Macaca mulatta: one gene and its partners. The protein of the gene in region 1 binds, or shares a complex with, the protein of each later gene. Links are inferred from orthologs where the notes say so. Each region holds a gene or a part of one and is shown in the gene's direction. Other genes may lie near its edges. The genes, in order: PDZK1, AKAP10 and SLC15A2.

Region 1 (10,745 bases):
TATCTTCAATCACCACGGCCTGGCTTCTAGGGTGCATGGAGTACTTTGTGGCCTATTCTCCACCCTCCCCCATATCCTGTATGGTCATCTGTTCTTGTCCCTCCAGGAGGGAAGGGACAGGTGGTTTATTCTGATTTGTAGGTAGGGAACTGTGACGAGAGGAACTTGAGGGCTTGCCCTGCAGGTGGTGTGAAGAGCGGACTCCAGGGCTCTCTCGCGAGCCTTCTGCCTTCTGTATCAGCCTGTTGCTGTTCTGGCCCCTGTTCTTATTCTCCTATAAAAGAAAAAGCTTTCAGCCAGCAGGTGTCGGCGGCACTGGCAGAAGTCTTTCCCTTAATCATAACTGGGTGTTGGAACCCCAGCTGTGGTTTTACACTTGTCCTGTCTTCCTCCTATGGCTCAGGACCTTGCCCCTGCAATGGGGCAACAGGAGGGGCAGGATGAATAGAAATAGAAGCTGCTTCAGGCCAGGCATGTGGCTCGTGTCTGTAATTCCAGCACTTTGGGAGCCTGAAGCATGACGATCGCTGGAGCCCAGGAGTTTGAGACCAGCCTGGGCAAAAAAGGGAGACACTGTCAAAAAAAAAATTAGTTAGCAGGGCATAGTGGTATGCGCCTGTAGCTCCAGCTATTCAGGAGGCTGAGGTGGGAGGATCGCCTAAGCCCAGGAGTTCGAGGCTGCAGTGAGCGGCGATTGCGCCACTGCACTCCAGCCTGGGTGACAAAGCGTTTGGGAGGGAGAGTCCCGACCTAGCCACAGGAATCCCTTTTCTATGGGGCATCTCTGCTCTGCTCTGGCTAGAGACTTCAGGGGCTGGAACAGTCTTTTCTAGTGCATCTTCAACATATTGGACAACCTCCAAGGCCTGGTGTCTCTGCTTTTTTTTTTTTTTTTTTTTTGAGACGGAGTCTCGCTCTGTAGCCCAGGCTGGAGTGCAGTGGCCGGATCTCAGCTCACTGCAAGCTCTGCCTCCCGGGTTCACGCCATTCTCCGGCCTCAGCCTCCCGAGTAGCTGGGACTACAGGCGCCCGCCACCTCGCCCGGCTAGTTTTTTGTATTTCTTAGTAGAGACGGGGTTTCACCGTGTTATCCAGGATGGTCTCGATCTCCTGACCTCGTGATCCACCCGTCTCGGCCTCCCAAAGTGCTGGGATTACAGGCTTGAGCCACCGCGCCCGGCCTTTTTTTTTTTTTTTTTTTTTTTTTTTTGAGACAGAGTCTCAGTCTGTTGCCCAGGCTGGAGTGCAGTAGCATGATCTTGGCTCACTGCAATCTCCCCCTCCCAGGTTAAAGTGATTCTCCTGCCTCAGCCTCCTGAGTAGCTGGGACTACAGGCGCCCGCCACCATGCCCAGCTAATTTTTGTATTTTTAGTAGAGATGGGGTTTCACCATATTGGCCAGGCTGGTCTCAAACTGCTGACCTTGTGATCTGCCCGCCTTGGCCTCCCAAAGTGCTGGGATTATAGGAGTGAGCTACTGCGCCTGCCTTTTTTAATGGTTTAAGCTCTTCCTTGTCGTGTCCTACCTCACCAAGCTTCTACTAATCCTTCAGTTCTTGGAAGTGTCATTCCTTCAGGAAGGTTTCTTAATTCTTCCCATCCCGCTCCCTATTCCCAAGACCCTTTGTTATTTTCCCCCTTATCACTGCGTTCTTCCCCAGCATGACACTCACCACGTGTGGTTATGGGAATGTAACTATGTTCCCCAATAGGACAGGCAAGGTATGGGTCCGTCTTGTCTACAGATTTAGCCCTGATTCCTTGAACTTGAAAAGCTCTTCAAATGTTTGAATGAGAGTGGGCTTGTCATAAAGTTTTGGGTTTATATATTTGGACTTAATTTCTTTAGGTCAGAGGACAAAGAGGAGTTTGGTTGGAGATACTGAAATGGCAGCATCTGTATCCAGTACCCAGTAAAATATGTGGGTCTGAAACTCTAGTAAAAATGTTGTCCTTGGGGAAACAGATTTGGAAATCATTAGCAAGTTCTGGAAGGTGTCCTCCTGTGCCCCCAGCGTGTACCCAAGCAGTCTAGATTTGATGATTGGAAAATAGAATTATAGGAGATGGAGGATGGGGTTCTCACTCCAATTAGTTTCTCTTTTCCATGGATTTATTAATTTTTTTTCATCACAGAAATGACCTCCACCTTCAACCCCCGAGAATGTAAACTGTCCAAGCAAGAAGGGCAAAACTATGGCTTCTTCCTGCGAATTGAGAAGGACACCGAGGGCCACCTGGTCCGGGTGGTTGAGAAGGGTAGCCCAGCAGAGAAGGCTGGCCTTCAGGATGGAGACCGAGTTCTTAGGATCAATGGTGTCTTTGTGGACAAAGAAGAACATACGCAGGTGAATGAGACATTTGGGGCTCCTCTTCCAGGATCTCTTCAGCCCCAACACCATCTCTGCTGATTATAATTTTGGGGGTCAGTAGAGTTTGGTTCTTTTCTGGCTGCCACTGGCAAGGCAGGACACCTTTATTGCTGTACCTTATGTTGGCCAATCAAGTCCCCTATGAAGAACCAAGAACTGTACACATTACTCTTGGATTTGAATAGCATCAGGTCTAACATGAATTGCATGTTCACTACATACCAAAAATGGTGCTAGGCAATTTTATATTCATTATCTTGTTCAGTCCTCCTCATGACCTTGTGAGGTATATGTTACAATCTCACAGATGAGGAAGCTAAGTACAGATAACTTAGCTTGCTAACATGTTCATGCAGAGGATATATGGGAGAGTCTGGCCTTACCCTATTCTGCCTGACTCCAAAAGCATGCTCTTTTCCTTACACTGTGCTGTCGCCATGCACTCAGGAGGTACGGTTACAATCCAGGGCAGTGCTCCTCTCTAGAAAGGGACAGTCCTTGTAAGAAGCCTCTGGGCTGGGGTTGGACCATGCTCTATATTCCAGCAGTGCCAGAAGCTCAGCCTAATCTGCACCTGGATCTCGGGAAGGCAGGGATGGAGGTGGCTGAGGAACTACCTGCTTCTACTTGGGTGTCAGGGGTCAACTAGCAGGATCTCCAGGGCCAGATATGGAGCCACATGGTCAGCATTTCCCTCTGGCAGTTGATAGAGGGTTATTAAAGTTATTTTTTCTTCTTCCCTCCTAGGTTGTGGATCTGGTCAGAAAGAGTGGGAATTCAGTGACTTTACTAGTTCTGGATGGGGATTCCTATGAGAAAGCAATGAAAACACAGGTGGACTTGAAAGAGTTGGGTCAAAGTCAGAAGGAGCAAGGTTTGAGTGATAATACACTTTCCCCTGTGATGAATGGAGGCGTGCAAACTTGGACCCAGCCCCGGCTCTGCTACCTCGTGAAGCAGGGAGGCAGCTATGGCTTCTCTCTGAAAACTGTCCAAGGTGAGAATTTTTGGGGGGAGTGGGGGGAGGCAGGGGCAGGGCACAGACAACAGGCTTCCAGAACAAAGATGCTATTGGTTAATGACTTTTCTTCTTTGACTTTTCAGTTGCTTTAGATAGCTTGCAACAGCTTTCCTCCCTCCCTCTCTCTCTCCCTCCCTCCCTGCCCTTTCCCTTGCCTTGCACAGTTGTGCAATTGGGGAGGGACACTGGACAGCAGTGGGGGTGGGGGGCACTGGGCACTCCTGTCCCTGAGTGTTTGTCAGGCTGACACTTGAGGACTCTTTGAGGTCAGGGGGTCAGAGCATTGATGCTTCTAGCCCTCTTAGGGTGAAAATGAAGAGGAGAATGAGGAATAAGAGGCAAGAAAAATGAGAGTCTTCATAATAGCTACTTTTGAGTAAGATTGGTATCTTTTTTAAATCTGGGTGCCCAGATAGTCATTCATTTATTCAACAAAATCTTAAGCACCTACTGATGTGCCAGGCACTGTTACCTTTGCTGAGAATACTGCAAAAATCTCCACCCTCCTGTAACATTTTGATAGTATCCTCAGCTGTGGCTCAGCCCCACCTGTTCTGAGGTGCATCTTTGAGCTCTGGCTAAGAGGTACAGAGTGATTTGAGAAACCCTGACCATCAGGAAGCACTAGAAGTTCTGTTTCTAGAATTTCAGAGGTGCAGACTAACCTGTGTTCAGTTGACCATGGCTCTGGGGGTATTGGTTGGAACCAGAGGGGCTGTGTTAGCTGGCCGGTTCCTTCTTGAACGTTGCCTCTGCCCACATTCTTTCTGGGGCTGGAGAAGCACTGGTGGTAGGTCATGATTTGGCAAGTGGTACAGCAGCAGACCAGTTGGTAAATTCACAATAGTTTATAAGGCTTATTTAACCTGTACCAAGAGATGGAAACTCGCGATAAGGGGCATTTCTCAGGTTGGTCAGCTATTAAACACAGTGGTGTGGGTAGTCAAAGGAAGCTTGGCATGTCTTCGAAGCCTATTATCAGTAAAGTGGTAAAAAAAGAGAAAATCATAATTCAGATTCTACTCATCTGGCTCATGTGCTAACGCACATGGTGAACAGTTTAGGTTAGCTTTATGAGGAAAATGGTTTCTTCATGACAAATATATAACAAGGTGGCAGGAGAAATGCTGAATGTTTAAGGAAGCAGAATTTAAGTTACTGTCATTCCTTACAAGTGATTTATGTAGTCATTACCAAGCGATCCCTTGCCTAGGTTGAAATACAGGAGTTCCCCCTTATCCTGTTTTGCTTTCCATAGTTTCAGTTATCTTACCTGCAGGCAACTGTGGTCTGAAAATATTAAATGGAGAATTCCATACATAATAGTTGCATTGTGAACCATTATGAGTAGGGTAATGAAATCTTGTGCTGTCCTGCCCCATCTTGGAGATGAATCCTCTGTTTGTCTAGCACCTCCGTGTGGTATGTGCTTCCTTGCCTGTTAGTCTTACTACTCACTACTCAGTTATCAGGTCAACTGTTGCGGTATTAAAGTACTGTGTTCAAATAATCCTTATTTTGCTTAATAATGGCCCAGCACAGAAAGAAAAATATCACATGTTCTCATAAGTGGGAGCTAAAAAAGGTGAATCTCACGGAGGTAGAGAGTAGAATGAGAGATACCAGAGGCTGGGAAGAGTGTATGTGGGGTAGGGCAGGGATGAAGAAAGCTAGGTTAATGGGTACAAACACAAAGAGAGAATAAGTTCTAACGTTTGATAGCAAAGTGGGGTGACTATAGTTAACAACAATGTATTGCACATTTCAAAATAGTTGTAAGAAGATTGGAAATATTCTCAACACAAAGAAATGATAAATGTTCAAGGATGGATGTCCTAAATATCATACCATTATTTGTTCATTATATGCTCTTGGTATCAAAACATGACACACACCCTACAAATATGTACAAATGTTATGTATCAATAAAAAACAATAGCCCAGGCCGGGCGCGGTGGCTCACGCCTGTAATCCCAGCACTTTGGGAGGCCGAGGTGGGCGGATCACGAGATCAGGAGATGGAGACCATCCTGGCTAACACGGTGAAACCCTGTCTCTACTAAAAACACAAAAAATTAGCTGGGCACGGTGGCGGGCGCCTGTAGTCCCGGTTACTTGGAGGCTGAGGCAGGAGAATGGCGTGAACCCGGGAGGCGGAGCTTGCAGTGAGCCAAGATTGCGCCACTGCTCTCCAGCCTGGGTGACAAAGTGTGACTCTGTCTCCAAAAAAAAAAAAAAAAAAAGCCCAAAATGCAACAGTTGTGATGCTGGCAGTTCAGATATGACAAAGAGAAGCTGTAATGTGGCCAGGCGTAGTGGCTCATGCCTGTAATACTAGCACTTTGAGAGTCTGAGGCGGACAGATCACTTGAGGTTAGGAGTCAGGAGTTCGAGACCAACCTGGCCAACATAGCAAAACCCCATCTCTACTAAAAATACAAAAATTAGCCAGGTGCAGTGGCAGGCACCTGTAGTTCCAGCTACTTGAGAGACCGAGGCAGGACAATCGCTTAACCGGGGAAGCAGAGGTTGCAGTGAGCCAAGATTGTGCCCCTGGACTCCAGACTAGGTGACAGAACGAGACCCCATCTGTTTAAAAAAAAAAAAAAAAAAAAAAAGGCTGTAAAGTGCTCTTCTATTAAGTGAAAAGTTCTCGATTTAATAAGGAAAGAAAAAATATTGTATGCTGAGGTTGCTAAGATTAGCTCAGTTATTGCGAATCTCTTATTGTGCCTAATTTATAAGTTAAACTATCATAGGTACGTAAGCACAGGAAAAAAAACATACAGGTTTCGGAATACTATCTAAAGTTTCAGTCTCCCACTGGGGGTCTTGGAATGAATCCCCCATGGTTAAGGGGGAACTGCTCTATTAATATCTTTGAAGAATTGACAGCATTTCTGTAAGTAGCACCTAAATCTCACCACCTAAATGCGTTCATGTTCTTCCCTCCCTCCTGTGCCTGTCCTTGTTAGCCTACATTGGTGAGATGACTCCATCAGCATACGATGGCTAATATAATAGTACGAAATAAAGAGGAGGGAATGGGAAAGATGCTTTCTGATTCTACAAATGCAAAGAAAGGGCATATAGACACAATAATGCAGTGTGGGTATGGTTTCGCGCTTTCTGGTACAAGGGGCCAAGGCCACCCAAGATTCCATCTTTGCATTTAGCTGACCTCAGAAATTCTATTCAAATCAACAAATACCCACTGAGTAAAGGCTGTGTCAAGTTCTGTGCCAGGAGCTATAACTGTGATTTTAGATCAGAAGCCAAAGGCTGTTTGAGTTAGCTCTGAAATTGGAAGTTCTAGTTTCACATTATTGGGAGAAAAGTCTTTACCACTGGATTTCTGTTTTTTGTTTTTTGTTTTCGTGCAATGGAGTGTTCTATGAAAGGGTGGTGTATGCAAAGCAGTCCTTGAATGCTGAAGGAGCTCAGAAACCAAAGAACAAGGCAGGCAAATCCAGTTTGTAGGTACATTGGAATTTATCAGGGGAACTTATGAACAGAAGCATGGTCTTGGACAGCCACAAAACATGTAGATCTCTGCAGTGTTACTCCCCAGACCCAAGGCTGATATGCCATAGGGAAAGGGTATATATGCTCCAGCAAGGCAATCGAAGGCAGCCGTCTGCAATAGCCAAGAATGCTATATGCATCATGGCCTGTAATTTGTGTGGTAACATTAAGGTTGACATGTTCTTACACTAGGGACAGTAAATGAAGTAGGAATCAGGAGGCATTCACAGGACTGGGGCTAATCAGAAGTCAACATCGCAGATTACCATCCAAGAGGGAGTCACTTTTGTCTCCACATGGAGTTCACCCCTACTCTCTTCCAGGTAAAAAGGGGGTGTACATGACTGATATTACACCTCAAGGTGTGGCTATGAAAGCTGGAGTTCTGGCTGATGATCACTTGATTGAAGTGAATGGAGAGAATGTAGAGGATGCCAGCCACGAGGAAGTGGTTGAAAAGGTATGCCCCAAAGGGTACTTTTCTTGCCCTATCTTCCACTCTATTCTCATTGGAGGTGACAGAAAGACAGGGGTGGTAGGGGACAGCATGAGTTTATGATGGAAAAAATATCCAGCTGAGTTGCCCCTTCATATTAAGGGTGAACAGACTCTCACTAGTGGTATAAGCAGTGTTAATACAGGTTTTGGAATAAAGCCTTCCCTAATTTCACATAAGGTCTACAAAACTATTAACCTTACCTTTTGGATCTTGTTTGTATCGGATTGGGAGCCCCCTCTGAACTGTCTGATTGAGACAGGGTCTCACTGTGTTACCCAGGCTGGAGTGTAGTGGCACCATCTCAGCTCATTGTAGTCTCGGCCTCCTGGGCTCAGATGATTCTTCCACCTCAGCTTCCTGAGTAGCTGGGATTACAGGTGTGTACCACTGCGCCTGGCTAATTTTTGTATTTTTTTTTTTTTTTTTTTGTAGAGACAGAGTCTCACTATGTTGGCCAGGCTGGTCTTGAACTCCTGAGCTCAAGTGATCTGCCCGCCTTGGCCTCCCAAAGTCTGGGATTATGGGCGTGTGTCACTGTGCCCTCTGAATTTACAATAAATTCACTGTTGAGCCGATAATACTGAAATGCTTTAATAGGAAGTGGGATATAACTGAGATTTTCCTTTGAGGTCATATGGAACCTTAAAAATTGACCAACCTTCTCTTCTCTTTGTAGAATGATTTTTTGACGTGGACTCTTACTTTCTTTTCTTTTCCAAACTCCTGTTCTAGCTTTTATCTAGGTACCTTTATGGGTTTTCTGAATTCTAGCTCCTACTTGGGCTCAGTTAGTACCTATGTGGGTGGGTCATATTTAAATAAGGGAAAACAACTCTAGAAGTGGAGATAGATACATATCAGTTAGCTGGCAGGACATAGTGTAACAGCTTAAACTCAGGCCTTCTATCCCCTATCTTTTGTTGAACCTAGAGACTGTGTGCCTTTATACAGAAACGTTCTTATCCCCCAGCATTGTTCTTGGGGGTTGATATTGTTCCTCATCTGTGTGTGTTGTTACAGGTGAAGAAGTCAGGAAGCCGTGTCATGTTCCTGCTGGTGGACAAAGAAACTGACAAGCATCACCTTGAGCAGAAGATACAATTCAAAAGAGAAACGGCTAGTTTCAAACTGTTACCCCACCAGCCCCGAATTGTGGAGATGAAGAAAGGAAGCAATGGTTATGGTTTCTATCTGAGGGCAGGCTCAGAACAGAAAGGTAAGGTACAACAGCAGGAAACTTGGCAGTGTAACCAACAAATTCCTCATCCCAGTCTGACTCCAGAGTTCCATTAGACTCCCAACTTCCAACCAGATGCATGAGGGACACAGCAAGAAACTAGAAGGCACAGCTGGGTCAGAGTCTATGTCACATGAGGCTCTGATATTGGGCATCAAAAGTTTCCATAGCATTATGATAAGGCAGAATTTGGGATCTGGGCAATGGTATCCTGGTAAGCTGGCTCTCTGGCGGGGGGCGGGGGTGGTGGTGGAATACAAATTGGTAGCATTTGTTGGTTTTTGTGATGTAAATACTCCTCCCATGTCCAATTTCAACTTACTAACAAGATGTCACTGAACACAACGAAGTGTTGCACAGAATTGGCTTTTGTGAGCCAGTATAGCACACCGCTGGACCTGAGGCCGAGGTGTGGGTGAGGATCTGGGACTCAGAACCAGGAGTCCTCCTTCTTTGCAACTCAACAGGGAGAACACTAGGTTCTTTCAGGGAAGGTAAATACATAAAAGAACATGAGTTCAGGCCGTATAAACTGTTACTCACCCATAAGTTGTTATTTTCTTTTCACTTTATGTTTACATTAATTTATCAAATATTAATTTGGTTTGTGTTTTGTAAAAACATCCTCAGTGCCTTGGAGAAAGAATATCATATGAATCAGACAGGAATTCTTTAGTCAAGGAGTCTACCATTTAGTAGATAAGAGATAAGGGACTTATGTCCACAATGAAGGGAGATAGAGGTTAAGTACCTTCATACAGGGGCAGATTAAGCGCTGTGATAATTCAAGGTTAGAGTAAGCTTTTCTCACTAAAAAGGTACCAGAAGCCCTCATAGCAGGGGTGGCCCTTGAGTTCAGGCTTTGTAACATGAATAGATTTGGGAAAGTAGGCAGGGCTGGGACAAGGAAGATCATTCCAGGAAGGGGGGAGTCATGTGAACACTGTCAGGAGACATGGGCACAGTTTAGTTGGCACATGATGCGTGGTGCAAGAATTCGTTGGAAGGGTAGGCTGGAGAGAGGTGACAAGGGAACTTCTATGCAAGATTGACGAGTTTGGACTTGGCTCATTAGATGATGGGGAGTTATTTTTTGAGCAGTATAAGGGAGAAGAAAAAAACAGCCTATAATGTCTTGGGGGCTTTGCACGTCTCAATTACTCCTAACAATTATGCAGGAAGAACTGCTGAAATTGAGGGCTTGGAGAAGATACAGTAATTATGTAAGGTCAAATAGTTGTTTAGTTCCAAAGCCCATGCTCATTCTGTTGCACCAGGGAGTGACGTGGTTAAGAATGTGCATCAAGATGGATCTGAAGGCCGATCTATATTGATTGGGGAAGGGAGAGCAGTAGGAAGGTGCTGTCATAGTTTACATAGAATTCTAGGCAGGAACTAACACAAACTGCATTCAGGGTGGAGGAAGTGGGATGTGTAAGATATCAAGGTAGCATGAGAGGACTTAGCAATCATCTAGATATGGGGACTGGATGCTGGGGAAGAATCAGTTGCCAAGTGTTGGTGGCTAGGAGGATGTTGCTCCACTAACAGGTAACCAAGAGGAGGGGCTTTGGGGTGGAGAATGGGCAGAGCTGATTTTTGGTTTGAATACATTACAGTTGAGAGATCTATGAGATATTTTGTTGGAGATACCCAGCAACTAGCTGGAAAAGGGAAACAGGAGCTTGTTTAAAAAAAAAAAAAAAAAAAGAGCTCTGGCAGCATCTGGTAAAGATACCAGAAGGCCAAAGGCACATGGAGGCATGTATATACAAATACATTCAAACTGAATACACCCAATTGCTACTAAAATGCCAGCATGGGTTTCTTAAGGTCCAAAGTTTTAGGTTTTGTTCTTTATTCTTTCCCGTCCTTTAATGACAGCTTTTACATAAGAAGAATGGCTACAAGTACGCCCACTGACTTCCTGGGAACTTACAGTCTTTTAATATGCTATTGTGCCAAAATTGAATATCAGGCACTTTTAGTAACATGATTATTTCCGTTAAGACCCCTTCATTGTTAATGGCTGGGTTAATTTCTGGAGCGAGTTCTGAGCAGGAAATGAGCCTAGATAGTGTGCTTATAAA
Region 2 (10,745 bases), on another chromosome or scaffold:
TGTTAGTATATATATATGTTAGTGTGTATATATGTGTATATACACACTAGAATAAAAAAATCAAAGTGTCTCAGAGTAGTAAGGACAAACATCATTTCAGAAAAATGTTTTCATTATATATACATGTATGTATGTGTATGCTGATTCAACAAATATATTTCTGTATAAGTTATAGCAAAATAGTTTGAAAGCTTTTACTGTGTTTTATCAGGAAGACCTTAGGTGAACATATATTCACAGATAAAAGAGGTTTATTTATTCGTTCAATAAATATTACATTCTCATAAGTCCTAATATTATGTATTTTTATTTTTCAAAAAAGTTAGTATTTGTGATTTATGTAATAAAACTTGTTCTTGCACTTCTAGCAGGTCTGTCCCAATGTGGGGCTTCTTTAATCTTACTGTGGGTACTTTGCACTCACTCACTACTGGAGACAGCAAGACCCCTGTTAGTCTCAGCTGTGTTTCTTAAATTGGCCCACTGTACTTTCCAGTTAGCTATTGTGGGGTCCATCTCATGTTGCCTCCATTTTCCTTTTCTTTCTCCCAGACAGATACCTATAACAGCTGTAACATAGGCCTGGTGGCTGTTGGTGGCTTATCCCTATCTGCTTGTATTTAAGGGGTGGTGTTTCACTGAGTTTTGCTGACAGATGTTGTCATGAGATTTGAGTTTTTCTGTGTTGTTGCTCTGTTTTTATGTGAGAATTTGCTGCTACCATTGTCGCTAGACCAGCTTTTCCTAGTAATACAACAGGGATGTTCTGACTGATTAGAGTTTGCCTGTTTGAAGAATTGGTTGGCTAGTGACTTTTTTGAGGGGAGTCTGTACCAGTTAATAGCCTCACTGGTGTGAGGATGAAAAGGAAAGAGTTTCAAGTCAAATAAAACACTTAAAAATGAAACCACACTGCGACTCTCTTTCTTTTACTTAAGCTTAATCAGATTAATGATGATGTAATCCCATGAAGGAAAAGTCTGCTTAAGGATCAAGTTGGTAACATTTTGTGATCAAGGGATTTGAGAAAACCTCTATCCCAGTGTCTATCATTATATATTTTAGGATGTTAATTACCTGTATGGCTTTAGGCAAGTCATTTTTCCTCCTTGAGCCTCATTCTTAATCCTGTCCAAATTATTTGTCTCCTCTTGCTGCAGTTGTACTATTTGAATATAGCTGTCCTTCAAGTGAGTTTTATTCAAAGGAGCCTTCACTTCAGCACTTACTGTGTATCCAACTTGCATAGTCTTTTTTAAAATGTTATCCTTGGGTTTTTGGCTTTGCTTTCTAATTACTGTTTTTATGTGAGGATTTAGAGTGATCCAGAAGCTATACTTCCACTACCTCCTTCATCTTCCACAAATCTTTAAAGTGGTAGAATTTTAAAAAACTTTGAAGGTACAGCTGACAGAATTTGCTAATGGTTTGGAAGTGAGTAGTATGAGAGGGAAAAAAAGGAATAAAGCATGACTGCATTTTTTTTGTTTGTTTAAGCGATTCCCCTGCCTCAGCCTCCCAAGTAGCTGGGACTACAGGCTCTTGCCACCACCCCCAGCTAATTTTTTTTTTTTTTTTGTATTTTAGTAGAAACGGAGTTTCACCGTGTTGGCCAGGATGGTCTCCATCTCCTGACCTCGTAATCCACCCACCTTGGCCTCCCAAAGTGCTGAGGTTACAGGCATGAGCCACCCCACCTGACTGCATGACTCCATTTTTTAAAAAACTGAATACCTGGAATTGTAGGGTTGTCATTTATAAGATGAAAAGACTGTAGGAGTAATGGCTTATGAGGAAAATCAGGAGTTTGGTTTTAGACATCCAAATGGTGAATGTCAAGTAGGTAATTGGACACCTACATTAGGATTTTATGGCAGTGGCCCGGGTTGGAGACACGTGTTTGGAAGTCATTAGCATATAGATGGATTTAGAGCTGCAATACTAGATAACATTACCATGGGAGTAAGTGTAATGAGGGAAGATGAGGTCTAAGGACTGAGCCCTGGCATTCTGTCAGATGGAGAAGAACTAGCAAAGGACACTTAGGCCCTCTTATGACAATGGTATATCAAGAAGTAGTTTTCTTCAGGAAGCCAAGTAAGAAAAATGTTTCTGGGAGGAAATGAAGCTGAGATAAGTAAGACGAATACTGGAATTGAATGGATTTGACAACCCATCGTACACTAGTTATCTTGATTACAGTGGGCCATTTTAGACGAAACTTAATTGGAGGAGTCTTAAGAGAGAATAGGAGGAGTGGAACCAGCGAGTATTGACAACTGTTATGTGGCATGTTCCTCTAAAGTTGAGCTGGAAGGTGATGTTAATCAAGTGTGCATTGGGGGCAGTGGTGCACACCTGTAATTTCAGCACTTTGGCAGGCCAGGGAGGTTGAATCACTTGAGCCCAGGAGTTTGAGACTAGCCTGGGCAACATAGTGAAACCCCATCTCTACCAAAAAAATAATAATACTACAAAAATTTTTCAGGCATGGTGGTGCATACCTGTAGTCTCAGCTATTAGGAAGGCTGAGGTGGCAGGATCACTTGAGCCCCAGGAGGTCATGGCTGCAGTGAGCCAAGATCATGCCACTGCACTTCAGCCTGGGTGACAGAGCCAGACCCTGTCTCAAAAAAAAAGGCGGGGAGGGGGGCAATGGTTTTTAATTTTGTTTTTAAGGTAAGATGTATTATAAGCATGTAAGGTGTGTTACAGCATACGAACAGGTATACATGTATAACATGCAGTCCACACAGCTGATAGGAATGAGGCAGTAGTGAAGGAGAAGTTGATGTAGGAGAGGGGACAGTTGTTACAGGAAAGAAGTCTGGAGGCAAAAGGGATGAATTCTAGTGCTCACATAAAATATTACTTAGATGGGAGCAAGACAGTTTATCTGGAGTCACAGGAAAGAATGCAGTACATGGGTAGAGATGCAGGTGAGTTGAAAGATGTGAGAGATGATGGAAATAATTTTCTGATTGCTTCTATATTCTCACTGAAGCAGGAAGCAAAGTTCTCAGCAAAGAGAACAGGAGAAAGAGGTGTTGAATATTTGAGAAAGGAGATGTACTGTAGAAAAACAAAACAAAACAAAACTCCTGAACTCTCACAAAACAGAACCTTTCCATGACCCTACTTGTGTGGGGGTTTTCCCCGTCAACTATCAATTCTGCAGATGATTCTCCAGTGACCCCTCCAACTGGGTGTCCTCTAAGTCAGTTCAGTTCTCACACGATCTACCTGGAGATAGCATCAGATCCCACAGATTGAGGACTCTGTCCCACAAGACTGCCCCCACTTCAGATGCCAGTCTGAAGCCCAAGTTGTGGCCTGTGCTTCTGACCGGCCTTCTATAAATTGGAGTTCCCACAGTCCCCTCCTTGGGTTCAATAAATTTGCTAGAGCAGCTGTCAGAACTCAGGGAAATGCTTCACTTATATTTACCCGTTTATTATAAAGGATATTACAAAGGATACAGATTGAACAGGCAGATGGAAGAGATGCATGGGCAAGGTATGGGAGAGGGGGCACAGCTTCCATGCCCTCTCCAGGTCATACCACCCTCCAAGAACCTCTACAGATTTAGCTATTCAGAAGCCCCCCTCCCCATTCTGTCCTTTTGGTTTTTTTGTGGAAACTTCATTATATAGGCATAATTGATCGTTGGCTATTGGTGATCAGCTCAACCTTCAGTCCCCTCCTTCTGGGAGGTTGGTGGGTAGGGCTGAAAGTCCCAACCCTGTAATTCTGCCTTGGTCTTTCTGGTGATTAGCCCTCATCCTAAAGCTCTTTAGAGGCCACCTGCCATTAGTCATCTCATTAGCATTCAAAAGAATCCAGAGATTTCATGAATTTTAGGAGCTGTATGCTAAGAAACTGGCTAAAAAGGCCAGTTGCAATGGCTCAGGCCTGTAATCCCAGCACTTTGGGAGGCTGAGGTAGGGGGATCATTTGAGGCCATGAGATCAAAACCAGCCTGGTCAACATAGTGAGACCCCCTTACAAAATACTTAAAAATTGGCCAGGCGTGGTAGCTCTTGTCTGTAGTCCCAGCTACTCAGAAGGCTGAGGATCACTGAGCCCGGGAGTTCAAGGCAGCAGTGAGCCATGATCGTGCCACTGACTCCAGCTTGTCTCAGAAGAAAAGGGGGAGAAAAAAAAAACTGGGCAAAGAGTAAATAACATATTTCACAATATCACAGATTTGTATTGTCTAGGAAAGTGAATGTGAACAGACCATGACACTAGTATGATCCCTGGGTTTCATGAAGGTCCCACTAAAGTCATGAACACAAAGTGAGACTAGGCATCATGTTATATGGTTTTTCCAGCCATGTTTAACAGTTAGCCAAACAGCTTATTGTTTTGCTGCAGTTTATTTAGGCAGTTCCTTATTTTAGCACATTTCATGTTTTAAAATTTCTACCAATAACATTTTGATAAACTTTTTTACAGATGACTTCACAAATACATAATTTTTTAAGCTACAATCCTAGAAATAGAATTGCTCATTGAAAGGGTATGTTCGTTTTTAAAGCTATGCTAGAAACTGCCAAATTGCCTTCAGAAAAAGGTGTTTATATCCCCACTAACACTAGTGTCAGTTTTCCTGTGCCCTTGCTCAAGTATGCATATTATTAAAAACAATGTTGTACCAGTTTACTAGACAAAAGGTGCAGTGCCTCCTTATTCTGATCTGATTACTAGTGAGTATGTGTATCTTTTCACGTTGATCATTTTATGTTTGTTCCTTTGTGGGTTGTCGTGTCCTTTGCTCATTTTTCTTTTGGGACATTTCTTAGTAGTTTATAAGAGCTCTTGGTATTTTAATGATAGTAATCTTTTAACTGTCATGCATGCTGCAAATCTTTTTTCTGTTTGTTTGCCTTTGTATTTTGTTTTTGGAGTGTTTCAATGTCTAGGAAATAATTTTATGTTGTTAAATCTTTTGATCTCTGCTTTTGCATATGTACTTCAAAAGACTTTCTACATCAAGGTCAAGTGTTACCTGTATTTTCTATTAGTTCTATTTAAAACCTCTTAATTTACATGCCTATGCTGTTAACTCCCAAGTTGATTCACAAGTGTGTATAGTTTGAATTTAGTGGCAATTTAATTATTTACGACTTCTTTTACAGCAAAGATTTGTGGAGAAGATGGACAGGTGGATCCCAACTGTTTCGTTTTGGCACAGTCCATAGTCTTTAGTGCAATGGAGCAAGAGTAAGTTAGTTCATATTTTCACATTGTGCATCCTAGGGAATTTGGGTTCATTGTTAGGAATGGGCTTCACTTAGCTAAAAACGAAGTATTTTTGAGGATTTAAATATTTTGGATATTTACAGGAACATATAAGGCATACTCTATCTTGATTAATAGTTTCTTTTAAATATAAATTATGTGAACTCTTAAAATTTTAATTTTCATTTTCAATGTTAGTATTTCCTAAGTTAAAATAATTTGTTTTCAGTTATGAAATCATTTGGGGAGTGATTGAGGCCGTAGTGATTATGACTGTTAGAATTGGTTTATTTATTGAAATAATGCCTGTCTTCAGATGGCTCTCCTAATTTGTTAGGCTTTAAGCTAAATCGATGCTATATAACTAAATCCACATAGATTTGTTGAAATGGCTCCAGAGGTTTTTTAGATTTATTACTGCTGTGTGCCCTTAAAAAAAAATCTATTCATTCTTTCACTTAACATTTATCAAAAGAGTGCTCTGTGTAAGACATGGTTAGGCATAGTACCAGTCTTGAAGGAAGTTACAACCTAATAAAAGACATAGGGCATGTTCTTTGGTTACTGTAATATGAAGTGGCATGTGTTAAATGTCAGGGGAGAACTACAAAGTCATAAAAAGGTGGGAGAGATTACATACAGGTAAAGGAATCAGGAATGACACCGTGGGGAGTGAGATAGTGTTGACCTAGGCCTTTAAGATACAATGGGGACAGTATGGAAAGAGTATATTTTTCCCACTTAAACTCTTTCCTTGGTCGTTCCCTCAAATTTTCCCTTTTGTCCATGTGCAGGCACTTTAGTGAGTTTCTGCGAAGTCACCATTTCTGTAAATACCAGATTGAAGTGCTGACCAGTGGAACTGTTTACCTGGCTGACATTCTCTTCTGTGAGTCAGCCCTCTTTTATTTCTCTGAGGTAAAGTCTGCATTTCCTTTCACACTCTGTTCGAGCATTCCAGCCTCTAACTATCAATGCTGGGGCCCTGTCTATAGGAAATAACCCAGAAGAGCCAAGTCATTTCCAAAAAGATTTATCGTTGTTTCAAGTTGTTTCTGATAGCAAGAGTAATTTAATAACATATTAGAGAGAACATGAAAACTCAATGTGTTAAATAACTCTAATTTTGAAAAACCTGATTAAGCTACTGCATGCCAGAGAGTGCATGTTTTTAATTGTTTGGAGCTATTTTAAAACCACAGAATTTGAAACTTCCAGGGCATAAATTGCAGACCAGACTTCAGAAGAGAAAAAGAAAAGTAGTAAATTTTTTCTTATGCTCATCATGTTTACTTTAGCCAGTTGATAGGATTGCCCAGTGAAGAAGCATTTGCAACAGACAATGAGTGTATTAATCTTTTTGAGGCATACAGTTTAGTATAATGCTCTTTGTTAGGCTTCAACAAGTGAAATTATTTTGTCAGAAAGCAGAAAGAGGATTCCTGGTCTCACAAAGCAGTAATTTAGACACTTGATTCTGCCTCTTTGCAAGAATACAGGTACTCAGTTGATCTGTTTTTCCACTGCCTTTCTTTGCTATAAGTTTAAACCAACAATTTGTTTAGGCTAATATGTCCTCATGGAATGGTGGAAATGATCAGATACAAAATATTTGGTTAGTTTACTCTTTATATGTTTGCTGGTAAGGAACCACAAATCCAATTTAGTATAATTTTTACTCTAGTTCACTAAAAGTTTGCATCCAGTTGTGTAGTGTTTGTTTCTTGTTAATTTTTTTTTTCCTCTAAATACTTTAAAACTTTTTAATCTCAAATGACTGTAACTTGCTGACAGGTGTTAACTGAAGAAGTCGATCTTTTTGTTTTTTGCTTATGACCTGTATTTTAATATTTGAGCTTATAGATTAGAGATGGTGAGAGAAATCTGTTTATAGTCTTATTTTCCCTTGTGTATTATTTCTTCCTAGTACATGGAAAAAGAGGATGCAGTGAATATCTTACAATTCTGGTTGGCAGCAGATAACTTCCAGTCTCAGCTTGCTGCCAAAAAGGGCCAATACGATGGACAGGAGGCACAGAATGATGCCATGATTTTATATGACAAGTGAGTTATATTGATAGATGCATTCAGCAGATACTTATTGAGCATGTGATATGTTTTGTGGAAATAAAGATGCAAAAACTCAGTCTCTGTTGTCAAGGAGTTCACAGGAGGCAGCATAAAAGCTACTTTTTGTATGGTGTTTGTAAAGCTTTGGGGGTTCTTAGAACAAAAGTTTCTGCTGGGAAAGGGGAGGTGTGTGTGGGGCAAACAGGATGGCAGTGGTAGTGTTCAAGCAGTGTTTCCCAGAAGAGAGATTTTGTTTGGATCCTAAAGAATGAATTGAATTTTGCTACCCAGAGAAGGCAGGAAACAACATTCTAGGCAAAGGCATTGGCACAGAAGCCATGGAGACTTGGCGGAAGGTGGCACTTTCAAGAAACTTGAGTTGAGATAATCAAAGGGTTGGGGAATACATGTGAGGATGCTGGTACTAATTGGAATAGATTGTAAGGGACCTTGAATGCCTCTTTATGGGTATAGTATACTTTCTGTATAAATCTGCCTTGCCACGTTATTAAATGAATTAGTTTTTTTATTAGTTTTCACTGAAAATGAGAGGATAGAAAAATCATACAGTGAACAAAATTGAAAATATCTGATCAGGCAAGTGATGAGCTTGTGGCCAGCTCTGTAACGTATGGTATTCTTTTCATTTAACTTTTCTTACTCTGTAAAAAAAATAATTTGTGGTTGGGCACGGTGGCTCACACCTGTAATCCCAACACTTTGAGAGGCAGAAGCGGATGAATTGCTTGAGCCCAGGAATTTGAGACCAGCCTGGGCAACATGGCAAAACCCCGCCTTTACTAAAAATACAAAAATTAGCTGAGCGTGGTGGCGTGCGCCTTTTGTCCTAGCTACTTAGGAGCCTGAGGCAGGAGCATCACCTGAGCCTTGGGAGGTCAACGCTGCAGTGAGCTGTGATCCACTGTACTCCACCCTGTGCAGGGCAGCAGAGTGAGACCCTTTCTCAAAAAAAAAAAAAAAAAAAGTTATTTGTTATTTGTATCCTTAAGCAAATGGTAAAGGGGTAACTTGGGGATAGAGAAAAGTCCATAAATGTTAGGGTTTGAAGACAGCCAATAGCATCTAGGCCAATGGTTCTTGAACACTGGTCTGCAGGCTCTTGCTGGGCTGTCTGCATAGGAATCACCTGAGAGCTCGTTAAAAATAGGTTTTCAGGCCGGGTGTGGTGACTCCTGCCTGTAATACCAGCACTTTGGGAGGCCGAAGCGGGCAGATTACCTGAGGACAGGCATTCAAGACCAGCCTGGCCAACATGGTAAAAGCCCATCTCTACTAAAAACACAAGAATTAGCCAGGCATGGTGGCACACACCTGTAATCCCAGGTACTCGGGAGGCTGAGGCAGGAGAATTGCTTGAGCCCGGGAGGCGGAGGTTGCAGTGAGCCGAGATCATGCCACTGCACTCCAGCCTAGCTGACAGAGCGAGACTCTGTCTCAGAAAAAAAAAAAAAAATTTAAGTTTTCAATCTGGGCATGGTGGCTCACACCTGTAATCGCAGCATTTTGGAAGGCCAAGGCAGGCAGATCACTTGAGGTCAGGAGTTCAAGACCCACCTGGCCAACATAGTGAAACCTGTCTCTACTGAAAACTACCAAAATTAGCTGGGCATTTTGACGGGTGCCTGTAATCCCAGCTACTAGGGAGGCTGAGGCAGGAGAATTGCTTGAATCCAGGAGGCAGAGGTTGCAATGAGCTGACATCGTGCCACTGCACTGGAGCCTGGGTGACAGAGGGAGACTCCATCTCAAAAAAAAAAAAAAGTTTCCAGTCCCCCACCCACCCAGTCTCAGAAATTCTGATTCCACAGGTTTGAGGTGTGACCAGGAATCTTTATTTTTAGAAAACATACCAGATAATTCTGATAAATAGCCAGATTAGGGATGTAGTCTGATTTTCCTATTTTGCAAGTAAGGAAAATAAGGCCCAGAGAGGTAATGATTTTCTCAGAGTCACAGAACAAGTTAGTGGCAGCACTTGGACTGGAATGCAGTTCTTAATGTTCTGTCCAGTGTTTATTTTGATAAATATGTTTGGCCGGGCGCGGTGGCTCAAGCCTGTAATCCCAGCACTTTGGGAGGCCGAGACGGGTGGATCACGAGGTCAGGAGATCGAGACCATCCTGGCTAACACAGTGAAACCCCGTCTCTACTAAAAAATACAAAAAAACTAGCCGGGCGAGGTGGCGGGCGCCTGTAGTCCCAGCTACTCAGGAGGCTGAGGCAGGAGAATGGCCTGAACCCGGGAGGCGGAGCTTGCAGTGAGCTGAGATCCGGCCACTGCACTCCAGCAAGGGGGACAGAGTGAGACTCCGTCTCAAAAAAAAAAAAAAAAGATAAATATGTTTGTAGACGATACTAGATAAGAAACATTGCTATATAGATATTGAGATAAGAAGGGTTTACATTTAGAAATTTGGTGTAAAATGCCTGAACATTCAAGTCGTGGAGGAGTATTGACCAACTTATTCAGTACAACATAGGAGATTCACATTTTGTTACAAAAATGCTGATTTAAAAGGAGAGTTTTCTTTTTTTTTCTTTTTTATTTTTTGAGATGGAGTCTTGCTGTGTCACCCAGGCTGGAGTGCAGTGACACGATCTCAACTCACTGCAACCTCCGCCTCCTGGGTTCAAGCGATTCTCCTGCCTCAGCCTCCCAAAGTGCTGGGATTACAGGTGCGGGCCACCATGCCCAGCTAATTTTTGTATTTTTAGTAGAGACAGGTTTCACCATGTTGGCCAGGCCGGTCTTGAACACCTGACCTCAAATGATCCACCCACCTTGGCCTCCCAAAGTGCTGGGATTACAGGTGTGAGCCACTGTGCCCGGCATACTTGTTTTTGTATCATATATATGCATCATCATAGTCATGCCTTATCAGCCTTTGTATTTCTGTCAGGAGATAGGAGATAGAAGCCATTAGAGTGCTTGGAAGAGAACTTTTTTTTTTCCTCGCATTTAATGCTTTTTTTGGTATTCGTTTCATAATCAGCTTACCAAAACATTAGCTGCATTATACCCTATCAAGGTAGAAATCTTTGTGTTCCCAATATTAGTTACTCCCTTTCCTTTCCACACTGAGTCATCAGTAAGTCCTGTTCTATCCAAATAGATCATATCCATCCAGCTCACCCTCAGTGCCATTTTGTTTTGAATTTGTACATGTTTACTGCTGATGCCGTATAGTTATGATGATGTGTTCTTATTTTATTCTGTGCATACAAGTTCTCAGCTTGCTTTTTAGGGGAAATGACCATGTCTTCCTTTCCTATAAATTCATTTCTGTCTATCAAGTCCTGAACAGAGAATAGGTACCCATAAATATGTGACTGTTAGTTTCTTTGCCTCAGTTGTAGTCTGCTCCTTACAGCTTTTAAACAACAGTAGAGTTCACCGTCAAGAACTAAGG
Region 3 (10,745 bases), on another chromosome or scaffold:
TCAGGATAGCTAGGTCTTCTTGTTGAATTGATCCCTTTACCATTATGTAATGGCCTTCCATGTCTCTTTTGATCTTTGTTGGTTTAAAGTCTGTTTTATCAGAGACTAGGATTGTAACCCCTGCTTTTTTTTGCTTTCCATTTGCTTGGTAGATTGGGTAGATCTTCCTCCATCCCTTTATTTTTAGCCTATGTGTGTCTCTGCACTTGAGATGGGTCTCCTGAATACAGCACACTGATGGGTCTTGATTCTTTATGCAATTTGCCAGTCTGTGTCTTTTAATTGGGGCATTCAGCCCATTTACATTTAAGGTTAATATTGTTATGTGTGAATTTGATCCTGTCATTATGATGTTAGCTGGTTACTTTGCCCGTTAGTTGATGCAGTTTCTTTCTAGCATTGATGGTCTTTACAATTTGGCATGTTTTTGCAGTTGCTGGTACCGGTTGTTCCTTTCCACATTTAGTGCTACCTTCAGGAGCTCTTGTAAGGCAGGCCTGGTAGTGACAAAATCTCTCAGCATTTGCTTGTCTGTAAAGGATTTTATTTCTCCTTCACTTATGAAGCTTAGTTTGGCTGGATATGAAATTCTGGGTTGAAAATTCTTTTCTTTAAGAGTGTTTAATTCCCCACTCTCTTCTGGCCAATAGATCTGCTGTTAGTCTGATGGGCTTGCCTTTGTGGGTAACCTGACATTTCTCTCTGGCTGGCCTTAACATTTTTTCCTTCATTTTAACTTTGGTGAATCTGACAATTAGGTGTCTCGGGGTTGTTCTTCTCAAGGAGTATCTTTGCGGTGTTCTCTGTATTTCCTGAATTTGAATGTTGGCCTCCCTCGCTAGGTTGGGGAAGTTGTCCTGGATAATATCTTGAAGAGTGTTTTCCAACTTGGTTCCATTCTCCCTGTCACTTTCAGGTACACCAATCAAATGTAGATTTGGTGTTTTCACATAGTCCTATATTCTTGGAGGCTTTGTTCATTTCTTTTTACTCTTTTTTCTTTAAACTTCTCTTCTTGCTTTATTTCATTCGTTTGATGTTCAATCACTGATACCCTTTCTTCCACTTGTTTGAATTGGCTATTGAAGCTTGTGCATGCATCACATAGTTCTCATGCCATGGTTTTCAGCTCCATCAGGTCATTTAAGGTCTTCTCTACAGTGTTTATTTTAGTTAGCCATTCATCTAATCTTTTCCAAGTTTTTTAGCTTCCTTGTAATGGGTTCAAACATCCTCCTTTATCTTCGAGAAGTTTATTATTACCAACCTTCTGAAGCCTACTTCTGTCAGTTCATCAAAATCATTCTCCATCCAGCTTTGTTCCATTGTTGGCAAGGAGCTGCAATCCTTCAGAGGAGAACAGGTGCTCTGGTTTTTAGAATTTTCAGCTTTTCTGCTCTAGTTTCTCCCCATCTTTGTGGTTTTATCTACCTTTGGTCTTTGATGCTGGTGACCTACAGATGTGGTTTTGGTGTGGATGTACTTTCTGTTGATGTTGATGCTATTTCTTTCTGTTTGTTAGTTTTCCTTCTAACAGTCAGGTCCCTCAGCTGCAGGTCTGTTGGAGTTTGCTGGAGGTCCACTCCAGACCCTGTTTGCCAGGTATCACCAGTGGAGGCTGCAGAACAGCAAATATTGCAGAACAGAAAACATTGCTGCCTGATCCTTCCTCTGTAAGCTTCGTCCCAGAGGGGCACCTGCCTGTATGAGGTGTCAGTCAGTCCCCACTGAGAGATGTCTCCCAGTTAGGCTACATGGGCTTCAGGGACCCACTTGAGGAGGCAGCCTGTCCTTTCTCAGAGCTCAAAAATCATGCTGGGAGAACCACTGCTGTCTTCACAGCTGTCAGACAGGGACGTTTAGGTCTGCAGAAGTTTCTGCTGCCTTTTGTTCCACTATGCCCTGACCCCAGAGGTGGGGTCTATGGAGGCAGCAGGCCTTGCAGAGCTGTGGTGGGCTCCATCCAGTTCAAGCTTCCCTGGCTGCTTTGTTTACCTACTCAAGCCTCAGCAATGGCAGATGCCCCCTCCCCCTGCTAGGCTGCTGCCTTGCGGGTCAACCTCAGACTGCTGCACTAGAAGTGAGCAAGGCTCCGTGAGCATGGGACCCACTGAGCCAGGCGCAGGATATAATCTCCTGGTGTGCCATTTGCTAAGATCATTGGAAAAGCACAGTATTTGGTTGGGAGTGTCCCGATTTTCCAGGTACAGTCTGTCATGGCTTCCCTTGGCTAGAAAAGGGAAATCCCCCAGCCCCTTGTGCTTCCTGGGTGAGGCGATGCCCCACCGTGCTTTGGCTCACTCTCCATGGGCTACACCCACTGTCCAACCAGTCCCAGTTAGGTGAACCACGTACCTTAGTTGGAAATGCAGAAATCACCATCTTCTGCATCGACCATGCTGGGAGCTACAAACCGGAGCTGTTCCTATTTGGCCATCTTGGAGTTATTATGCTTTTGAATGTCTTCTCCACACTTATCTTTTCTCTTTCTCCCAGTGGGTCTGCATAGTATGTCCTTTCTCCTCTTTTTTGTCTGATCTGAACTGACCTTCTTTTCTTCATGCAAGGTCTCTTCCTCTTCCATCACTACACACTCTCAACCTCTGTATATACCTCTTCTCGGTTCCTAAGCTCCTACTAAAAATGGCTGTGGCTTTTTATATTCTTATGGTGAAATAAAATATATTACTTCTTTCTCTTCCATTTCCTTTTTCCACATTAACTTGTTTGTGATAAAAGCAAAGGAATGCTGGGTTATGAGTTAAATATAGAAGCTCTACACCTAACCCTAATACTAATTAAAATGTCACTTTGGGGCCAGGTGTAGTGGCTCATGTCTGTAATCCTAGCACTTTGGGAGGCTGAGTTAGGAGGACTGTTTGAGGCCAGGAGTTTGAGACCAGCCTGGTCAGCATCGCAAGACCTCATCTCTACAATAAAAGAAAGTCACTGTTTATTTATTTTTATTTATTTATTTAATTTATTTATTTTTTTATTTCTTTGAGATGGAGTGTCGTTCTGTCTCCCAAGCTGGAGTGCAGTGGTGTGGGATCTTGGCTCACTGCAACCTCCACCTCCTGGGTTCAAGTGATCTGCCCATCTCAGCCTCCCAAGTAGCTGGGATTATAGGCACGCACCACCATGCCTGGCTAATTTTTGTATTTTTAGTGGAGGTGAGTTTTCACCGTGTTGGCCAGGCTGATCTTGAGCTCTTGACCTCAAGTGATCCATCCACCTCAGCCCCACAAAGTGCTGGGATTATAGGGGTGAGCCACTGCAACTAGCCCAAAAGTCACTGTTTAGAAATGTCATTTGACCTGTCTGGATTTCAGTTTCTTGATTTGTAAAATTGAAGGATTAGTGAAGTCATCCTAAAGCATTTCTGTGTCCTGTGGCTGGGATTACAATGACCCTAATATCTCATTTGAAATGCAGAATTTTCAGGTCTCTTGACTTCTTGCTCCTCCTATTAGTTTCCTGCCGTTAGTTTCCTCTCTGATATCCTTCATATCTAAACTATTTCCTATGAGGGCTTATTTGTTTTTTGTTTTGTTTTGTTTTTTGTTTTGTTTTGTTTTTATCTATAAGGTTGCCTATTTTCCTCCTAAACCACTTATACTTCTGTCATTCATTTAGTCCAAGCTTGTCCAACCTACAGCCTGCAAGCCACATGGAGCCCAGAACAGCTTTGAATGTGGCCCAATACAAATTTGTAAACTTTCTTAAAACATTATGATAATTTTTTTTTTTTTAACTCACCAACTATTGTTAGTGTTGGTGTATTTTATGTGTGGCCCAAGACAATACATCTTCCAATGTGGCCCAGGGAAGCCAAAAGATTGGACACCCCTGATTTAGTCCATCAATTCGATACTGATCTTACTACCCAGACTTTTATCACTTTGGCTCAAACTCCTTTTTTTCCCCTCTATGATGATCTAAGATAGATCATCTGTTTGGGGTTCATGATAGCTAGCATTTTTTTTCTGTTCCTTTTTATTCCCTTTCTTGCTATTTATTCTTCTTATTACAACAAGGAGAACCTTTCTCTAGAAGATGTTACAAGATCTTTTGGGAAAGCTTGTCCCCGCCCCTGATGTTAATTAGTCCTACATTAGTCACCTAACTTCTTTTTTTTTTTTTTTTTTTTTTTTTTGAGATGGAGTCTTGCTCTCTCACCAGCCTGGAGTGCAGTGGCACCATCTCTTGGCTCACTGCAACCTCTGACTTCCTGGTTCAAACAATTCTCCTGCCTCAGCCTCCCGCATAGCTGGGATTATAGGCGCATGTCCCTATGTCCAGCTAATTTTTGTATTTTTGGTAGAGATAGTGTTTCACCATGTTAGTCGGGATGGTCTCGATCTCCTGACCTCGTGATCCACCTACCTTGGCCCCACAAAGTGCTGGGATTACAGGCGTGAGCCACCGTGCCCAGCCTAGTTACCTAACTTCCTGCCCCCTACCCACCAGACCCTTTAAGGTCCCTGCCCTAGAAAGCCGACCCAAGGATTAGGCACTTAGAATGAGAAATCCACATCCTGAGAGTTTTGACATCTCCGGCCTCTCTTTGCTATCTTTATTCCATTCTATTCTCTGCATTCCACATTAGCATATAACATCTTAAAAATTGCAGGTGTAAACTGTATAATTTCCAAGGTTCATTATAATGCTAACATTCTACTTGTATGTAGGAATGCTGGTGTGGTAGTACACATAAGGAATATATGTTGTAGTGTGCCATATTCCAATGTGTGAATCTCTCTATATGTTCTTAGTGGAGTTCCTTATTCTTCTACTTTCTATTTGCTGTTCAAGTTCTTTGAGAAAACAATACAACAGAATGTTCCTTCCAACTGCATGGTTTTCATAACTGGACAGTCTATTCTAAGTCCCTGGCTCCTTTCTTACCCTTGTTAACTTGTCCCTGAAGAAACTGTGGTGAGGATTACAATTAATCCAAGAATCCAAGTTACCCAGGCTGAACCTGAGAGCTTTTTACCTCCCCAGTGCTTCTTTAATTTTGAGGAAGTCGTTGGGTTAGCCATTCCTGTTTACTTGAAGTTCTTCCTTGACCCCTCTTGCTCCCTACAGCAAAAGACATTCCTTGAGAAAAACGCCTAAAGTCCAAATATCCTCTTCTACTGGTTCTCCCATTTTAAAACATTATTACTTTTGCTACAAATCCACCTTGTTCTTGTCATGTCTGTACAAAGTAGGGTTTCTCTGTGTATGTGTGAAGTGAGCAGGTAGAAGGAAAGGGGAAGGTGGGTATAGGAAGGGAACTTGAACACTACAGAGTGAAGAATTCCACTCCTTTTTCCTAGTCTGTTTACTTCACTCACCATTATTGTCTCTATTTGGATTTCTCAGATAATTCTTTCCTCCTCCACTCCTTCCTCCTCCTCCTCCATTTATCCCCACACTGAGAACAGTATGAACCCTAAGTCTGTATTATTCAAGTCTCTCAGTTCTGGTTTTAGACTGACTGATTTAGCTCTCTCAACAGGACAATCATCTATCTCTCCTTGGTGTATGTGCTTGGCCATGTGATCAAGTCCTTGGGTGCCTTACCAATACTGGGAGGACAAGTGGTACACACGTGAGTAAAACCATGGAATCAACTAAACTGCTTTTCTCAAACATTCGTTACAAATGATTTTCTGTTTTCTTACCAGAGATGTCCCTTTATTTCCAATCTATAGTTTTACTACAAAAGAGGTTAAGAAAAACAGTCTTATAACCAGTTGAACTCTTTCCTGCTTTATCTGAGCTCATCTGTTTTTGGGACTTGTAGAATGCCTAGTTAGTATCCTCTTCATATGCTTGAAAATAAACAAAACCTTCACACCCTACATATTCCCTCACCTTTTTATTCATCCATGCAACTATACTTTGCATGGATGAATAAAAAAAGTCTATAAAAAAAAGTCTATAATGTTTCCTTTTAATTAATTGTAGAAGTCATACTCAAAGGGTTAAAAAAAAGTCTATAATGTTTCCTTTTAATTAATTGCAGAAGTCATACTCAAAGCTTCGAATATTTACATTTATGTGTAGTTCCATATATTTCAGTTGCTATTGATGTTTATGGGATCAGAGGCATTTGATAAATTCTGATGTCTGTTTGTTCAGTCAGTAGAGAGGATTACAGCTGTTCACGAAGCAGTTTATATGTATTCATGTTATAATGCGCCTGTGTGCCTGTGTACATGTATTTATCCTATGAGTTAGAAATTTTGTTTGTTTGTTTGTTTTTAGACAGAGTCTTGCTCTGTTGCCCAGGCTGGAGTACAGTGGGGTGATTTTAGCTCACTGAAGTCTCTGCCTCCTGGGTTCAAGTGATTCTCCCACCTCAGCCTCCCGAGTAGCTGGGATTACAGGTGCCCGCCACCACACCTGGCTGATTTTTGTATTTTTAGTAGAGACGGGGTTTTACCATGTTGACCAGGCTGGTCTTGAACTCCTGACCTCAGGTAATCCACCCGCCTTGGCTTCTCAAAGTGCTGGCGTAGCCTCTGCACCTGGCCTTGATATTTAATAAATACTACTTTCTTATTGGTGTCCCGTCAAATATCTTTGACACTGTTGCTATTAGCTATGATGAATTTGAACATTTTATATATTTTTTTTAAATTTTGGTGAGGATATGTGAGATCAGGGTCCTTAAAAGGTCTTTCTGTTGAAGTACTCCTTTGACTAAAACAAGATTGGGAACCAGTGTGTTAACTTTGGAGTTCCTTCAGTATCTGTTTCTATCGGATGCTCGTAAGGGGTAAATGGAACTACCAGGGATGAAATCTTCCCACGTAATGCATACTTTCTTGCAGAAGCCAAAGGATCATAAATATGGTAAGTGCCCATGAATACCTCCTAGGAATAAAGGCAAATGGAAAGTACCCATGGGGTAGAAATGTGAAGGGAATCTTTGCCCTTGTACACATTTTTTCCCCTCTGCAGCTATGTAGTCCATCTCTACAGGTGCATTTAGTATCAACATGGTTGGCATTCTCACCTCTCCATTTCAGAGTCCTATCATTAGTCGGCCTGAGTCTAATAGCTTTGGGGACAGGAGGCATCAAACCCTGTGTGGCAGCTTTTGGTGGAGACCAGTTTGAAGAAAAACATGTAAGAATCCTGTTATTTTGTATTTTCAAGAATATAGAGCCAGCATTAACAGTGGTACCTGGCAGGTAGCCATTTGCCAAGATTGAAGTAATCTACTGATCAGATCTTACCTGAGCAGTTGTATTCAATGCTGGATACTGGTCATTAATAGTGAGGAAAACTGAAACAGTTTCAAAGGAAAGAGACCAGGGTGGTAGATTAACTAAAAGGCATGTCTTATGAGGAAAGGTTGAAGGAAACGGGGATGGTTAGTCTGGATACGAACTAAGGAGAATACTATAGCTGCTTATAGATGCTGGAAGAATGTCAGTGATTAAAGCTGAGACCAATGAGTGAAAGCCTCCAAGAAGCCAGTGTTTTGCCTGATGGGTGGAAAAACTTCAAACAATTGTTAAGTTTACTCTAACTTGAGGTGTTTAGGAAGAGATATGGTAAGCACTTTGGGAATGGGAGGTGATGAGTAGTATAGAGATGATTTAAGCATCTTATTTTGAGATTCCATGAAAGGGGAAAATGACCAATTGCAAGGAAACATAATGAATGTCTATAGATGAATTTCCCTGGCTGATCATTCCCTCTCTTCCTAAATACTTTCCATTACCAGTAGTGAAAAATAAATGGGCCTCTATGAGAAAGCAGTGACAAATAGGCAAGGAAGTAGTCTATTTCTAGATCTTTCAACATTTCTGGCTTCCTCACTTTTGTTTCCAGTTTTCAGTTTTGTCTGTCTTCATGTATCCATTCCGTCTTCTCTGTTTATCTTTTTTCCAGTTTCTCTTTTTCCCCCTCACCACTTCTCTCTCTCTCTCTCTTTCCCCGCCCCCCACTCTCTCTCTCTCTCTTTCCTTTTCCCTCTTCTACCCTGATATAATGCCTATTATCTTTTTCTGCCTCTGCTATGCTGTCCTGTCTTCTAGTGTTTTTCCCACCTTTCAGGCCATTTGGGTTATTTTATACTCTTTATCTGTCCAAGAGTCCATAGATCATAATTGCTTGCTGACTTTGGAGAAAGAACCAACTTTTGGCAAGTGGGACCCTATGTATGATGAACTATACAAATTAGATGAGTGGAATAAGGTTTAAATTGAAACCAGGAGAGGAAACAAAACACACTATAAATAGACAATGGGGAAGGACTTGTTGTTCTAATGTGGCAGGGAGAGATCTGGGGTGTCAGAATGAAGCATGTCAGTGTATAATGAATGAAACATCAGCAACTTTATTTGAAAGTTGTTTCATTTGAGAACTGCTCCACAAAGATATTTCACTTAGTAGGACGAATCCGCCTCCAGGTTTCTACTAGCCACTTCTAAGCCTGCTGATTTCTTTTTAGACTCTCTGGCAGATCTCCCTTAAGCACTAGGTGAACTATCCTGCTTCATTAACAGTTGACTCTACTGTCCTATGTTCTGGTACTATTCCTACCATACACTCCTACCACAAAATCTATTATTTAACTAAATCAGGCATTCACTTAGTTAATACAGTCAATAAACATTTATCGAGTCCCTAATATATGTCAGATGCTGTGCAAGTTACTGGGGATTACAGAAATTAGTAAGATAAAATTTCTGCTCTAAAGAAACTCACAACATACTGACAAAACAGACATTTATGGGAGGCAGAGGCAGGAGAATGGCTTGAGCCCAGGAGGCAGAGTTTGCAGTGAGCTGAGATTGCGCCACTGCACTCCAGCCTGGGCAACAGAGTGAGACTCCATTTCAGAAAAACAAAAACAAAAACAAAACACACACACACACACACACAAATGCAGACATTTAATGCAAAGACATTAATATTCAAATAGCTATATACAGGACACAGTAGTGGCACTGAAGACAGGAAGATTATTTTTAACCTATGCAAAGGGAGGAAAAGAATGTTAAAGCTGCTCTGGAGTTTGAAAGGTGAGTAAATGATTGGGGTCAGCCAGCCATGTTTTTAAATATCTATTAATAATATGAAATTCAGGTATTATGGAAGCAATATCTGAATCTTTCTCTTTGTATGTACCTTCAGCTCTGAATCTGAACATGGAATGGGGCTGGAGCTAGGGGACACATTGCACTGATGATTTATCCTGTTTGTTTCAGGCAGAGGAACGGACTAGATACTTCTCAGTCTTCTACCTGTCCATCAATGCAGGGAGCTTGATTTCTACATTTATCACACCCATGCTGAGAGGTTAGGATTTTTTCTGATGGGAAAAAGCTTTGCTCTGGTCAGCCAAAAAGCTGTTCAAGGCTTTCTCCTGTCCATTGTCTCCTTTTATAAGAGCTTGATAACCTGTGAAAATTTATTTTAGTCTTGATTTGTCTTGCCCAAAGGAAGAATTATGGATTGGGTGATGGGAGGAAAGAGGATGGTTATGTCTATTCTGCAAGCTCAGGTTTATTTGACAACCTGAACTTGTAGAATAAAACATCAAATATTCAAGACTCAGAGTTACTTTCCTCCTCACATCCCATTTTCTTTAGGAGATGTGCAGTGTTTTGGAGAAGACTGCTATGCATTGGCTTTTGGAGTTCCAGGATTGCTCATGGTAATTGCACTTGGTAAGTTCAGTGAAGCAAAGGAAACTAGTAATCATTGATACCTGTCACATGTAAAGCATCATGTAGGCACTTTACACAAGCTGTTTCATTCAATCCTCACACTAGGGCCTATTGGGTAACAGTTATTGTAAGGGTTTCCCCTCAACTTTGGAGGTAGATTCTGAATGAAGTCAGAAACTTTAAGAAAAGTGTCCAAGGTTGCATAGATGCTTTCTGGGGAGCCTTAAAAAAGATCAAACTCTGGGCCAGTCAGGGACTTGGGCATTTCTTAGTAACTCAGGTCATTCTAATGTATACTCAAGGTGGAGATCCACTGCTCTACACTATAATATATAGGGAAGCAAGGAAGATAACCCTCTTTCAAACTAGTTTACTTCATATGATACTTATTTATCTGGTAATTGGAAAAGATTTTAAATTCTCTAAGCCTTTTAAAACAGCTTCTAGGTTTAGCTATTTCTGCCCTGCTCTGTAGTGCCCCCCTGGAGTGCCCCCAAAGAGTCTGCCCTTGAGTAAAGAGAATAAGAGGAGGTGAATAAGTAGGTGAAAATTAATGCAACTTAAATCAAGTGGCGTTCTTTTTATCCCTGAGAACCCAGTCCTGGAAGAGAAGAGGGATATGGTGTTCCTTATTTTACACAGCCTGAGGGAAAACTTGGGCATGATTATTTCTAATCATTGACCTGGAAACCTGTTCTCACTCTGAGCCTCAGCGTGACACCCCCCTGGAAGATATCCAGTGCAAACCCATAAAGAGCTCAACAGAGGAAAAACAGCCCAGAGACTCAATGTTCAGTGTATTATCTAACAGGGAGTGGATGGGAGGGTGGTGATAGTAGTACTCAGAATTCCCAATGCCAAGGAAATTTATTATAGGTGAGCTGTGATAATATATTCCCTACTTCCTTCTTCATTCAAAGCCAAATATTTTCCCGAATATTTGCATGATAATATTTACATAATAGAGTAATTATGAAGATAAAAAAGAGACGATATAAATGAAATGTTTTATAAATTATGAAATGTTAAGTGCTAGCTGTCATTGTTAGTCAGCAGCTTCAGTTT

The links.
Region 2: the proteins of PDZK1 (region 1) and AKAP10 are in contact, whole or in part, in a crystal structure (PDB 3TMH), measured with the Homo sapiens proteins. The link is inferred for Macaca mulatta from reciprocal best matches to the Homo sapiens genes PDZK1 and AKAP10. Residues at the interface, in NP_001188254.1 of Homo sapiens: Asn386, Gly387, Tyr388, Gly389, Phe390, His391, Leu392, Asn393, Ala394, Ile395, Arg396, Phe402, Lys404, Tyr436, Glu437, Val440, Ile443, Gln444; in NP_009133.2 of Homo sapiens: Pro655, Leu656, Glu657, Lys658, Ser659, Thr660, Lys661, Leu662.
Region 3: the proteins of PDZK1 (region 1) and SLC15A2 are in contact, whole or in part, in a crystal structure (PDB 6EZI), measured with the Homo sapiens proteins. The link is inferred for Macaca mulatta from reciprocal best matches to the Homo sapiens genes PDZK1 and SLC15A2. Residues at the interface, in NP_001188254.1 of Homo sapiens: Asn386, Gly387, Tyr388, Gly389, Phe390, His391, Leu392, Asn393, Ala394, Ile395, Arg396, Gln407, Tyr436, Glu437, Val440, Ile443, Gln444; in NP_066568.3 of Homo sapiens: Glu723, Thr724, Lys725, Lys726, Thr727, Lys728, Leu729.

What each region holds. Positions count from the first base shown.
Region 1 is NC_133406.1:119,615,336-119,626,080, forward strand, and holds part of PDZK1 (Na(+)/H(+) exchange regulatory cofactor NHE-RF3), read left to right. Parts: intron 1-2,137; coding exon 2,138-2,349; intron 2,350-3,120; coding exon 3,121-3,370; intron 3,371-7,242; coding exon 7,243-7,379; intron 7,380-8,438; coding exon 8,439-8,634; intron 8,635-10,745. UniProt on the Homo sapiens protein: A scaffold protein that connects plasma membrane proteins and regulatory components, regulating their surface expression in epithelial cells apical domains.
Region 2 is NC_133421.1:21,144,125-21,154,869, reverse strand, and holds part of AKAP10 (A-kinase anchor protein 10, mitochondrial), read left to right. Parts: intron 1-5,141; coding exon 5,142-5,226; intron 5,227-6,038; coding exon 6,039-6,162; intron 6,163-7,171; coding exon 7,172-7,308; intron 7,309-10,745. UniProt on the Homo sapiens protein: Differentially targeted protein that binds to type I and II regulatory subunits of protein kinase A and anchors them to the mitochondria or the plasma membrane.
Region 3 is NC_133407.1:161,851,572-161,862,316, reverse strand, and holds part of SLC15A2 (solute carrier family 15 member 2), read left to right. Parts: intron 1-5,506; coding exon 5,507-5,599; intron 5,600-7,025; coding exon 7,026-7,125; intron 7,126-9,218; coding exon 9,219-9,309; intron 9,310-9,602; coding exon 9,603-9,680; intron 9,681-10,745. UniProt on the Homo sapiens protein: Proton-coupled amino-acid transporter that transports oligopeptides of 2 to 4 amino acids with a preference for dipeptides. Transports neutral and anionic dipeptides with a proton to peptide stoichiometry of 2:1 or 3:1.